Linked DNA regions of Tribolium castaneum. The protein of the gene in region 1 interacts with the protein of each later gene in a pairwise test. Links are inferred from orthologs where the notes say so. Each region holds a gene or a part of one and is shown on either strand. Other genes may lie near its edges.

Region 1 (6,533 bases):
ACCTGACCCATTATTTATGGCCCACACAAAAATTTACATGATAATTATGTATTAATGTTTGTGCATTCTTAGAAAAAAAAACATGTTTTAATTATTTCTTTACTATCTGAATATTATGCAAATAAATTATTCTTTTTGAAATGCTTACGTATTTGTTTTTTTTTGCACTTGTTTCATAAAAAGTCATCAATACTTCATTAATTTAACCTTCGTAATGAGATACTCGATATGCATGTGGAAGTATTAAATTATGGATACGTGTCAATAACTAATATATTAAAGTTATTGTTTTTTAATTCTTAACTCTTAATGCACAATTAACTGTAAAAAATCTAGAACATTAACTGAAGTTAGACTAAAGTTCTGATAGGCGTTTTCAAAATAGAAATCGTTGTTCATGATCAAAAATTTTCTAAAAAATAAGTGATTCCGTGTAAATTTCGTTGTTCAAATTGATTTTTTATCAGTTAAAACCACTTATCTAAATTTATGAGCATTAAAGCTATTATTACTTCCATTCCAAAGTACTTTGTTATGTAATTATCTTGATATCTGGTGATAATGATCCCTTTGAGTCTTTTAATCTAGAAATGTTGGAATGTTTTGTGAAATAAAATGAATAAAAAAATTAATGTTTATATCCACTTCCATCTTCAAAATTCCTTATTCCTTAAACTAACATAAAGTTTACTTGTTTACTTTTAACAGATTTTATGAGCGCCCGTTTAATTAGTAACAAGATGTAATAACATCGAGGAAATATTTTTAAAGTACTACTTTTGCATTCGAATTCATTTGAGCCTTAAAACTGAATTTGAGACACCTTTAACTGTTCATCTTTACTTTTATTTGTTTCTCGGTTTTATTTTTGTCCGTTGTGTGACTAGGAGGCGAGCAATCCCCCGAAAGGCGGCCACCAGCTGAAAGCCACAGAACCACAACGAAAGCCAACGAATTGGCTGTCTCGATGCACCCTACTCTGACCAATCGGCGGAGTTTAAACGCCCTTATATACTAATCGTTCACATCACAGCCTTAAAGGGAGAGTCGATTCTTGTCGTTTCTCAAGGGTGGTAGGCTTCGTTTGGTACCAGAGGTCATCAGGTTGTGGTGTGTTGTGTAAATAGTCGGCACGACATGTCGTTCGGTGTTTTGTGACTTAATCGAAGTCGTTCAATTTTAAATCAGGCGAAAGGGACCAACTTTTCGTTGAGAAATGCACAAGTGAATGATATACTTTGTTATTTATGATTCGGTTTGAAGGCCCCGTTTTCCCTCACAAAACACCGGATGGTATGTCAGCGACCTTGATAATACTTATGTGATTAAGGGTAATTATTTTTTTTACCGTTGTATTTTTTTAGATAATTTATAGGTATATTTATACGTGTGCACATTAAATTAAAGACGATTGTATTCTTGATGGCGGTTGCAGACCTTCTCATAAAAATGATATGTCAATTACTGTTTTCAACGGCCATTAAGGGTATTGTTTCAAGGATTCTTTGTTGTGATTGCGATTCATTTATATTTTTTAAAAACTAGTTATGTCTTTATTCATTTTTTAATAGTAGATAAATCGAACAACCCGATGGAAATCAGTCCGTTTTATTTGTGTACATAAATTATTTTCGTTTTTCTTGTCCAAAGTATTATTGAAAAATTCTTTGTTGGGCGTTTACAAAAAATTGTATATCAAGTTTCGTTGCAAAAAAGATATTAAAGGAGACTAGATTTTGTACGTTTGTATATTTACATTTCACAAATTGTTTAAGAATTATCGCCCTCTAGGTTTAGCGATTACACTAAGTAAATAAAATGACGGAAATATCCAGGATGTTTCATTTTAATTGCGTTTTTATGAATAATAAAGCGAGTAGAGTCTTGTAATTTATTGTTTTATAAATGAATGTGTAAAAATATAAAAATGACTTACATAACACCAAGTTCGCGCAATTTGCATTGGAGTTTCTTTGTCGTGCCTTCCCATAACGTCTGCAAAGGCTCTCTGGTGGTTGTGCCGCAAGTGCTAGTAATGATGTCAGTTGCAGCCTTTGAGGCCGCTATGTAGTCGCCTAAACAACATATTAAACCACGTTAAGCGGACTATTCTTTTACCTTGTTTCGCAATCACATCTATCGTCCTGTTGAGTAAATTCTGTGACGTTTGGGCGCTTTTTATCTCCCCTTCTCGCACAGCCACACAAATGGATTCAACCAGTTTTGGTAAAAAGTTCAGACTTGTGCCCATAATACACGTAAAACCGCTCGCAGCAGCCCCCAAAATTGCCTAAAAGTGGAAATTAAGTGGGAGATATGGCCATAAAGCCCCTACTTCGTCGGTGCCCATAAAAACGGTAAACTTTTCCCTATTTACCGCCATAGCAGCGGTGCTCTGTTGTATATCATTCGTGCTATAAATGACGCCTACAAACGAATCCACTTCTCCCGTTATATCCAGCAGAAACGACGTAATATCAACTAAAAATGAATTTTTTCGTGTCTTGTTCATCGTTCGAAACGCTTACTTTCAACTTGCGTAAACTTGGGATTGTGGTGATAGAGAATGGGGACGTTTTTTGTAAATTCTGATATTAATTTTATGTACTTGATTAGGTCTAGGTGGTTTTTTGGTTTGTTGTAAAGGTCGGGGAGGATTACAACAGCGCCGATGTCCCTCTTAGCGGCGTGTTTTGCCTACAAATGAAAAATATTAACAGTTTTAACAAATGTTTAAACTACCATTTCTATAACGTCTTTGAGGGGGGCTCCCCCGATTTGTGCCATCAAAAACTGATTTGTTTTTTCACAAGCGTCAGCCCACGCGTCCGCCAAATCTATTCTTTCATGAATGGTTAAGGACATTCCTTCCCCGGTTATGTCATTAACTAAAATTGACCATTTAATTTAATTCATTTTCTAGAGTTGCGAAATACTTAAAATTCCTTTAATATTGCAAGCTTTTAAAAAATTTGCGTATTTTGGTATAGCCTTAAGGTTTACATCAGGTGTCACTCTTTTTAAGTTAGTAAATGGGGTAAAGACGGGGCACAAAAGCCCCCGAAATTTAAATTTCTGTGCCTTGAATGCAGGCATTGCCGCTTTGAGGGCATGTTTCTTTGACGACATGTGTTTGTGAATGTCGGAAATCCCGCATCTGTAATCCTTTTTACAGAATTTGCAGTAGAAATACGTATTTCCATGTATGCTCTCTGATAACCATGCTTTCAATTCGGGTTTATTCTCCCATTCTTTTTTGTACTTTGGTATGTATTTCTGCGGGAAGGTGGTTGGTTTTTCATTTGGTGTACTGGTGACTTACCTTCGAGTTACTGTCTCGTGATTTCTTTGACGCTGGTTCAAGATTTTCGTCTTTTTTGTCGTCTTGTTTCTCATTTTCTTCTTCGCTGTCTGACTCTTCTGGCACAAAATCGGCAAACAGAGCCTTAGCCGTTTCAGGTGTGCTTATTTGTGAGTCTTTTTCAGCCTTGCTTTTCGTGTTTGAAGCTTCCTGTTTGGAGCATTCGGGTTTCGTCATATTTTTCAAAAATTGTTTATATTTTTCACAAAACATAACCTAAAAAGCTGACATTTTAAGTGGCTTTTGGGTGGTAAGGACGGTAAGGTTGGTAGTCATTTTTACGAAAAACGTGCGTTGTTTGAGGTTATCCAAGTTTTTGAAACAAGTTTAAAATGGATAATATTCTGAATGACGAAAAGCCTCGAGTGATTTTAGGAGAATATAAAGTGACGCAGGTATGTCCTTTATTATTTTGTATTAAATTCCTTCAAACATCCTTTGAAGAATTTGCCCTCGGAACCAACTGTTTTGGACGAGAAATGGGACTTGAAAACCTTTAAGAAGAGATTTAGGGTGGTGATTGTGCGAAGTGAAGAGAATGAACTCGAATTTGACTTGATAGGGATTCACCCGTTCCTAGCAAACACTTTCAGAAGGTTAATGTTGAGTGATGTCCCCACAATGGCCATTGAAAAGGTTCACATTCTTAATAACACGTCTATAATCCAAGACGAAGTTTTGGCCCATCGTTTAGGCCTGATACCGCTAAAGGCCGACCCCCGATTATTTGAAATGAAAACTGATCGTAAGTCTTGTAATGTTGCCGTTCCAAACGTTACAATATTTTTACAGCAACTGCTGAAGGTACCGAACAGGATACTCTAGAGTTTGCGTTAAAAATTAAATGTACCAATAATAAAGACAGCAGTAAAGACTCACTGCGAGCTGAAGATATGTACAAAAACAATAATGGTAATTACCCCGTTTGAGAAACAATAAAAATTGCAATAATTTTAGTGTATTCAAAACACATCAAATGGGTGCCCATTGGTAAACAGAAGGAGCGGTTTAGTGACGTGGGCCCCATCCACCCTGACATTCTCATTGCCAAAATGAGGCCAGGCCATGAGTTAGATTTAAAATTATTAGCAGTCAAGAGCAACGGGCGAGACCATGCGAAATTTTCTCCTGTCGCAACCGCATTTTATCGCCTTCTTCCCGACATAAAATTATTACGAGAAGTGGAAGGTGAAGCAGCTGAGAGACTCCAAAAATGTTTCTCTCCCGGTGTGATTTCAATCCGACATGAAAAAGGCCGCAAATACGCTGTTGTAGCTAATGCGAGGTATGATACAGGAAGTCGGAATGTTTTCCGTTATGAAGACCTCAAGGACGCAGTAGCGATGACCAAAATTCAGGATCATTTCATTTGTAAGTTTTTTTTTATTTACTTTTTCAGTTTTTATTAATTGTAATTTAGTTACGGTCGAATCTGTGGGGGCTTTACCACCTGATGTGATATTCATGGAAGCTGTTAAAATATTAAAAGACAAATGTCTTGCTTTATTAGATGAATTAAGTCATGTATAAACATTTCACTTAATATACTTTTATCAAACCACAAAAAATATAATGAACAAGGTTAAAAATAAAAAACATTTGACGCGTAAATTTTTGCTACCTTAAACCTTCCTTCACCTATTGTCTAGTAAAAAATTAAATTGTAAATTGACTGGAATCGGAAAATTATTGCCTAGGCGTAATAACTGGGAGGCACTGTGAGATCACTTAAAACTAACAGTTCTTCCTCAGTAAATTTGAGTTTGTGGATTTCCCAGTTTTCGTGATGCGTTCGCTTGAAATCTCCCAAGGTTTTGCGAATTGTTGCCTAAAAATTATTAATTATTTTTTTAAACGACGAAAGTGTGACTCACAGGAATGGGTTGGGGGTCGTTCAAATGGGGTCCTAATTGTCCAAAAACATCCGGTAAAAAGTCAGGTACGTCGTATGGATGGCTATTGATAAAAGCACACAAGCCCAAAACTCCAGCATGTCTAAATCTTAAAGTACTAAGATTCAAACTGTTTGAATTGTTCAAATTTTTCTTCTTCAATTTAGTTTTCGCTTTCTGTTTAAATTGCGCCTAGAATTCACGAATTATTTAACGATAAACTAAGAACCCGAATAATTACTAATAATTCTTGAGGGTTTGGAATAAATTGGCAGTGCAAAAGACCGCTTAAAACTTGACTAGCACTAACTCTAACTTCAGGTTGAACATCTTCGAGTAGTTCTAGCACCATGTGTTGTATATCTAGTACCCACTCCTTTTTCGAAATAATCGTGGGCATATTGTGGAATACAAAACCGGACATGAATTCGGTTATAACCGCACGAGCCGACCAGAACGGACAAGTGGCAACTTTTCTTATTGCTTCAAGGGCCGAAGGCATGTATTTGTCAATAGTTATGGTGTAGGCCAAAACTGCGAGCAAACTCGAGCAAATTGGGGCGATTTCGTCGTCGGTGTCGTTGCTTTGAAGCACACACGACAGTGGCAAAATCTCGAAATATTCAGGCAGCGTGGAGTAGTTCATTCTTACAACACTCGATGTCACGTATTTTGAAACTGAAAACATGCCTTTTATTATTGCATCCTGACTGATTACATTACAAAACAAAACATTAGAAACAATTACAGAATCACACAAGGCTCCGATTTTCCAAATAACAATTAAAAGCCTAAAAACATATTCTTAAATAGAAAAATTAAACCAGTGCCGATTAGTCATCGTACAGTCACATAACTGCTATCATTTTTGGTGGATGCGCCGGCTAGATTTGGTTTTCATTCTAGAATATTTTTTAGATTCTTACTACGGATATTTTAAGGTAGGGGTATGAAACGACGTATAAATAAAATGTTTTCGTACTCGATAGTTTCGTTAATGTCGCTATAGAGCGCAGTTGTTCCATTACGTCCATTGTACGTCTACGTTTGTAGAGCAATGAATTTGAAAAAATGTTTGGATTTGTATAATGAATACCACACAAAAAATAGAGGCAGATAAAGCATTAAATTCTTAATAGTAAGATATAAACATAATGCAAAAAATTTATCGTAAACTATATTTAAAAAAATTTCAAACGTTTACCAATTTGCACTACTCCGTGAGTTCAGAAAGTTCTGTGATTTCTGTGATCTCATTTCGTCTCCTAAGTTATAGTTCT
Region 2 (5,966 bases), on another chromosome or scaffold:
TGTTTAGATTTTTTTTGTTTTGTCCTGTTCTGTGTTTATGTCCCGATTTGTCTTGGTTTTGATACAAATAAACCCAAATATCCCGACATTAATAATTGCCACAAAAAAAAACCAAAATGTATAAGTGATTTCTATCGCAATTTGTTTTTTTACACATTCCAACGGACGTACATGAAACAAAATTTCGAAAATTGACATGTCCCAACTCTCCCAATATAGGAACTTTAGTTTGCACATAAATAAGAAAGGAGGAAAATAGTGAAAGTAATAAATAAGAATTTTGCAAAACGTGATATAAAAAAGTTGTTGTACTTGATAAGTTTTATTACGTGTAAAATTAACACTCGTATCTCTGATATACTTTATATACCTGATATACTCTGTATACTCGTAAATGTAGCAACTCAATAGATAAATATTTAGTGACTATAAAATACTAAGAAGTTTTTTATTGTTCACTTAAGACAACATCATGTACCAGTCTGCATTTTTTTATTATGAATGTCCTGATTTTAAATTTTTCAAAGTTGGTTATCTAATTTAAGTTCTAAAAAGACTTACAGAGCCGCCCAAACTATAGATTCGTTTATTAATTTTTATCGGTGGTTTATTATCGGGAAAAAATAGTTTAACCAAAATGCTTGAATATAGAGATAATGCCAATAGGTTTTTTTTAAAGGAAATTAACTTTAATTTAATTAACTATAACTTTTTTATCTCTACATTAGTTTTCGACAGAATTTTCGCATTACCTTAATTTCAGTCTGTAACGTTGTTAATTACCTTGCGCTTGCCACCATTTAAACAGAACAATTTATTTATTTCAATGCCTTTGAAACAAAACTCATTTTAAATATTTATTACCACATAAAACTATCGGACTGTTCGTTTTTTCAATCCTCCGCAATCATGCTGGGGAGACTCATCGTGGCCAACTTGTTGGTCTCCTGCGTCTCGACTTCTTTTTTCAACACCGAAACTTCTTTCGAACCGTCGCCTTTGATGGCTTTAGGTCCCGATTTCTTCCTCAGATTGTCCATATATTTTTTACGCTCTTCCTGGGCATGGACCATGGCCGCCTGTTCCGCTGGGTTCAACTGGGCCAGCCGTGGGTCCATCCCGAACCAATCCGACGCCAAAATCTGCTCGATCTTCCACCGCTTGGACGTGTCCGGCTCTAGGAGGTGGCTCATGAGACGCTTCACCTCCGAACTTATCACATCGACGACTTTCGACCGGAATTTCCACTGTCGGTTCATTTGTTGCTCGTGGAGTCTTTTGATATTTGTGTCGTCGAAAGGCATGGCTTTGTTAAGCATGATGTATAAGACAACTCCAAGTGACCAAATATCGGCGATTTTGGGGTGATAGGGCGAGCCTTTGAGGATTTCGGGGGCTGCGTAGCTCAAAGACCCGCAGTACGTGTCACTGGTCAGTTTTTTGCCGTAGGCGTCTGTCACGTATCTCGCGAATCCGAAATCGGACACTTTTAAGTTATAATTACTGGTGATTAAGGCATTTTCACATTTTAAATCCCGGTGCGCTATCTCCATATCGTGCAAATATTGCACAGCTAGGGCTAGCTGTCGCATCCAAACCCGCGACTGTGCCTCCGAAATCGAGCCTTTTTTCAAAATAAACTCGAGCAAGTCGCCGTTTTCCGCATACCTCATGAAAATAAAGTACTTTGATTTGCGCTGAAAAATGCTGTGGACGTGTATCAAGTGCGGGTGATTGATTTTGACCAAAATATCCAGCTCGCGCGGCAGGAACTTCTTGACAAAATCGCGGGGGGCTTTCGTTGTGTCGACTATTTTGCAGGCCAATTGCCGGGGCTTGTTTTTCTCGTCCCCGGCGGTGCCCTTGTACTCCGCAAGGTACACCTTAGCATAGGAGCCCTCACCGAGGACTTTGAACAGTCGGTAGCCTCTGGACGAAAGCGTGAGTTCCTCGGAAGCAGTGTGTTCCGGTGGTTTCGCCATAAGTACATTGGGACAGGAATTTAGACAAACATTTTGATTAATAAAAAATGACGTTTATTCAAAAATGTTAAGTTGACAATTCGTCTCTACTGTCGAAGTTTTGTTTCTCGCGTGTGAACTCGTCCAGAATGTGGTCGGAGAGGGCTGCCAGGTCCTCCAAGCCTCGTTTGAGGGCGTCCACAGCGCGGCCTGAGCGCATCTGAATGCGGAGGTGCATTGAACATTCCATGGGATGGGGGACTGTGTAAGCGCAAAATTCGACGTCAGGACTGCAAAAATGATTTAAGAGAGGGGTTTGGATGAGTCTGGAGCGCATTACTAGCCAGAAATGACACATCTGAGAGCGTTGCCTAAAGTGTGACCCTCGCCTTGTAGAATGAACGTTCGGCAGGATTCGTCTGTGTCTTTGGTTCCCAGGAGCTGAAGTAACGTGGTTTTGATTGATGTCATACAGAAAATAAGACAATTTACCTGTGTGATTGGCATTTTTTAAGTGGGGTTAGGTCCTAGAATAACACTAACGGAACATAATGGTTGGCAATAAATTCCTAGCTGAAGCCATCTAGCCGCATCATCACGTACTAAAAATGGCGCAAATTTAAAATAATTCCGATTACTTTGTATTTTTTTAATTTTTGCTCATGTCAAAATGATGTCAAAACCTTATCAAATAAAATTATTGAAAATTTCCTAATTGTATTTGAAAAGGTGGATGCACAGACAGCACAGATGGAAGAATTTTACCCAACATGACACGATCACATTTAATGTTAAAGATATTTATTAAATCCATTAAGTTTACAAAACTAATAGTCGTCACCGAATCGATGATAACGACATACTTGCAATCAGCCAAACTGGCACCGGTCTGGCACCTTATGTTTGCAACTTCTGTCTATGGGAGTCTTCTCGCAGTGTGACTCACTTGCGGTTCGATCTCAAAAAACTCACTTTTGGGAAAAACGCACCTATCTACGTAAACCTTCTGGAGCTCATTACTACGTTATATTTTTAGAGATCATGTTGTTCCTAACCGATAGTAGGCAATAGTCTAACCCAAACACGACACCTTGATCCACTACCTTAATAAAACTTTGAAAAATTAACGTGATATTATAAAAAATAAACTCAAATTTTGCTGACGTTTGTGAAATTTTTACTTGTCAGCTGCGCATCGGTACCACGTTTTTCTTCAATAATCTGGAATTTTAAATCCGCCAATAGGACTTCTTTTTCCCGTAAAACACTGGGGCCATCTATCCTCATCATCAGTAAAACCTATTTCAATTAGGGTTCGATTCGTAAAACCTGTTATTCTGTGGATTGGGCTATATCAGTTCGGGATGCCTGGTTGTATCCCTTAAAATCAACAAAAATGGCGATTCAAGTAAAAAGTGAGTGAAAATAAAAATTATTTTTCTAATGTTATTTTCAATTTGCACAAGAAAATTCATAGTGTACGGTCATCAGGGCACTCAGAGGAATCGTTTGGTGTAAGTTTCAGCTTGAAAATCCAGAAGTAGTTAAAGTAAAAAATTACCAAGTTATACTTTATGTTTTATTACGTGGTAAAGTTAACAACACACGTTAACATACCCTTTATAAACGTTTAAACACCCTTTTTCATGAAAAGGTTGACATGAGAAGTGCATTTTTCAATAAATCTCACTGAAATTTATGTCGTTGACTCAAGGTAGATTTGTCTGTCCTTAAACATGTTCAATAATAATTAATAGCGCTCTAGAAGAGCAGGAAAGCACACAAAAAACATTAAAGTTAAAATTTAACACTTCAGAAGAGAGCATAATACACCCTAACCCTACTTTCTGAACTTTTGTCCTTATCTGGCAATAGCACATAATAAAGGTAGAGATTTCGACCCTAAATATCCTATCATAACGCTCTGAAAGGGCAGAGATGGAGACAACATTCATAAAAGTGTAAATTTTGTCATTTTCGGGTGACAACATAACCCTACTTTTGGAACCTACCGAATTTTCAACAAAACGAAACAAACAAACAATGTGGCTATACGCATTGCGATACCACTAATTTTCGCACCAAAATTTCACATTGCCAGTTTCTGTTTAAATAAAAACATGCATTTTTATTTTTCCATTGACTGCATGCGAAACTTTTATAATTTTAGACGTTTATAGGCAAATACATTTGTTATTATTAATTTTTTTAGATCAATGCTGTTCTATTTTGAATAATTCTGTGTATGAATGTTTCTAAATTTGACGGATTTTACCAGTGAATATTTCTGGTAATGACCTGTTTTATACTTGTGACGTCACATCCGTGACGTGTCCCGAGGTTAGGTGTGCGGCGCAGGCGGCGAGAGCGCTTCAGTCGACAGCGAGCAGTGGCACGGGTCAGATCGGGAGCGGGAGCGGGAGGCGAGGCGAAGCGAGGTGAGTCGGTTTATTTAAATTATTGTGTATTGTGCGGTTTCGTTCAATTTATTCAGTTTGTTACTTGCCGTTGTTGCGAAGGGACGTGTGCTCAAGCAAATCTAAATTTTCCGGTTTAAATTTTCAATTCGGTGACTAGTGATCGCGTTTGAGTGACACATTTTAAATACAGTAAATAAAATTATAATCAAACACTGAAATAATTTATTGCCACGTAATAATTTTGTCTTTAATTTCAATGAATGAAAGTGGCTTGCTCAAAATTTAATGCAAATAAACATTTTTTTTGGTTTCATTTTTATTATTATTTTTTTAATGCTACAAACGGTAGCCAACGTGGAAGCGATATGAAGGTAAGTGCATTTATTTACTGAGGTATTGAATTTGATTTGAATTTGAATTGCCACAAATTGAAAGGTATTGTGAATTTTTTATTTTGTTTAATATTGACAAACGTTGCTTGTTGTAACTATCATGCAAATAAAGATTTTTATTGGTGTTGTTTTAATTTTTTAAATGTCTTGCTACAAACAGTAGCCAACGCAGAAGCCATATGAAGGTAGGTGCAATTTTTTGCGTTTTATCTTGTGATGTGTTGATTTAATAGCTTCTGTGCCATATATTATACCGTATTGTGTATCCTTTATTCTGTATAATATTTATTAAAGTCGCTTGTTGTAACTTTCCTACAAATTAATTTTTTTGTTGGTTGTGTTTTTAATTTATTTTTTAGGTTTTGCTACAAATGGTAGCAGATGCAGTACAAAAGGTAAGAGCATTTATTTAACGCCAAGTGAAAAAGCTTTGATTTTTGTGTACTATTTTTTCATTTCACAAACCAATAATTCCTTTATTCCCTTCATTTGAAATAATCATTGTTTACCTCATCCTTATATCCTTTTTTCCTGGCAAGAATGCTCTAAACCTCCACGTGGTTCTTGCCGGACAAATTAGTTATTGACTAATTTGACCAATTAGAGCAATCCTTAAATATAACATTGTTGATTGTTTTTTACAGCCGTAAAATTATGTCGCTTGTTGTAATTTTCATGCAAATAAAGATTTTTTATTGGTGTTGTTTTTAATTTTTTTTAATGCTACAAACGGTAGCCAACGTGGAAGCGATATGAAGGTAGGTGTATTTTATTGCTGTGTGCTGTGTATTTATTTATTTCACAAACCAATAATTTCATAAAACTTAAATGCAATTAAAATCTTTAAATGCGATGTTGAAAAGTGATATTTTGAGTGACACATTTTAAATACAGTAACTATAAATAAAATAAAACACTCAAATTATTTATTGCCACGTAATAATTTTGTCTTTAATTTCAATGAATGAAAGTGGCTTGCTCAAAATTTAATGCATATAAACATTTTATTTTGGTTTCATTTTTATTATTTTTTTTAATGCTACAAACGGTAGCCAACGTGGAAGCGATATGAAGGTAGGTGTATTTTATTGCTGTGTCGTATTTATTTATTTCACAAACCAATAATTTCATAAAACTTAAATGCAATTAAAATCTTTAAATGCGGTGTTGAAAAGTGATATTTTGAGTGACAC

What was found.
Region 2: the proteins of Polr1C (region 1) and Polr1D interact in a two-hybrid assay, tested with the Drosophila melanogaster proteins (2 studies listed by BioGRID). The link is inferred for Tribolium castaneum from reciprocal best matches to the Drosophila melanogaster genes Polr1C and Polr1D.

What each region holds. Positions count from the first base shown.
Region 1 is NC_087396.1:18,338,810-18,345,342, forward strand, and holds Polr1C (DNA-directed RNA polymerases I and III subunit RPAC1), read left to right. Parts: upstream 1-3,581; 5' UTR 3,582-3,693; coding exon 3,694-3,756; intron 3,757-3,805; coding exon 3,806-4,106; intron 4,107-4,153; coding exon 4,154-4,273; intron 4,274-4,318; coding exon 4,319-4,732; intron 4,733-4,781; coding exon 4,782-4,891; 3' UTR 4,892-4,972; downstream 4,973-6,533. Other genes in the region: Rab8 (ras-related protein Rab-8A), read left to right, coding at 888-983; N-acetylneuraminate lyase A, read right to left, coding at 1,933-2,075, 2,119-2,290, 2,336-2,481, 2,529-2,697, 2,743-2,888, 2,937-3,276, 3,323-3,574; proteasome activator complex subunit 4, read right to left, coding at 5,055-5,189, 5,236-5,445, 5,495-5,931.
Region 2 is NC_087402.1:7,143,983-7,149,948, forward strand, and holds Polr1D (DNA-directed RNA polymerases I and III subunit RPAC2), read right to left. Parts: upstream 2,583-5,966; 5' UTR 2,469-2,582; coding exon 2,454-2,468; intron 2,403-2,453; coding exon 2,302-2,402; intron 2,252-2,301; coding exon 2,050-2,251; 3' UTR 2,014-2,049; downstream 1-2,013. Other genes in the region: testis-specific serine/threonine-protein kinase 1, read right to left, coding at 894-1,982. UniProt on the Drosophila melanogaster protein: DNA-dependent RNA polymerase catalyzes the transcription of DNA into RNA using the four ribonucleoside triphosphates as substrates.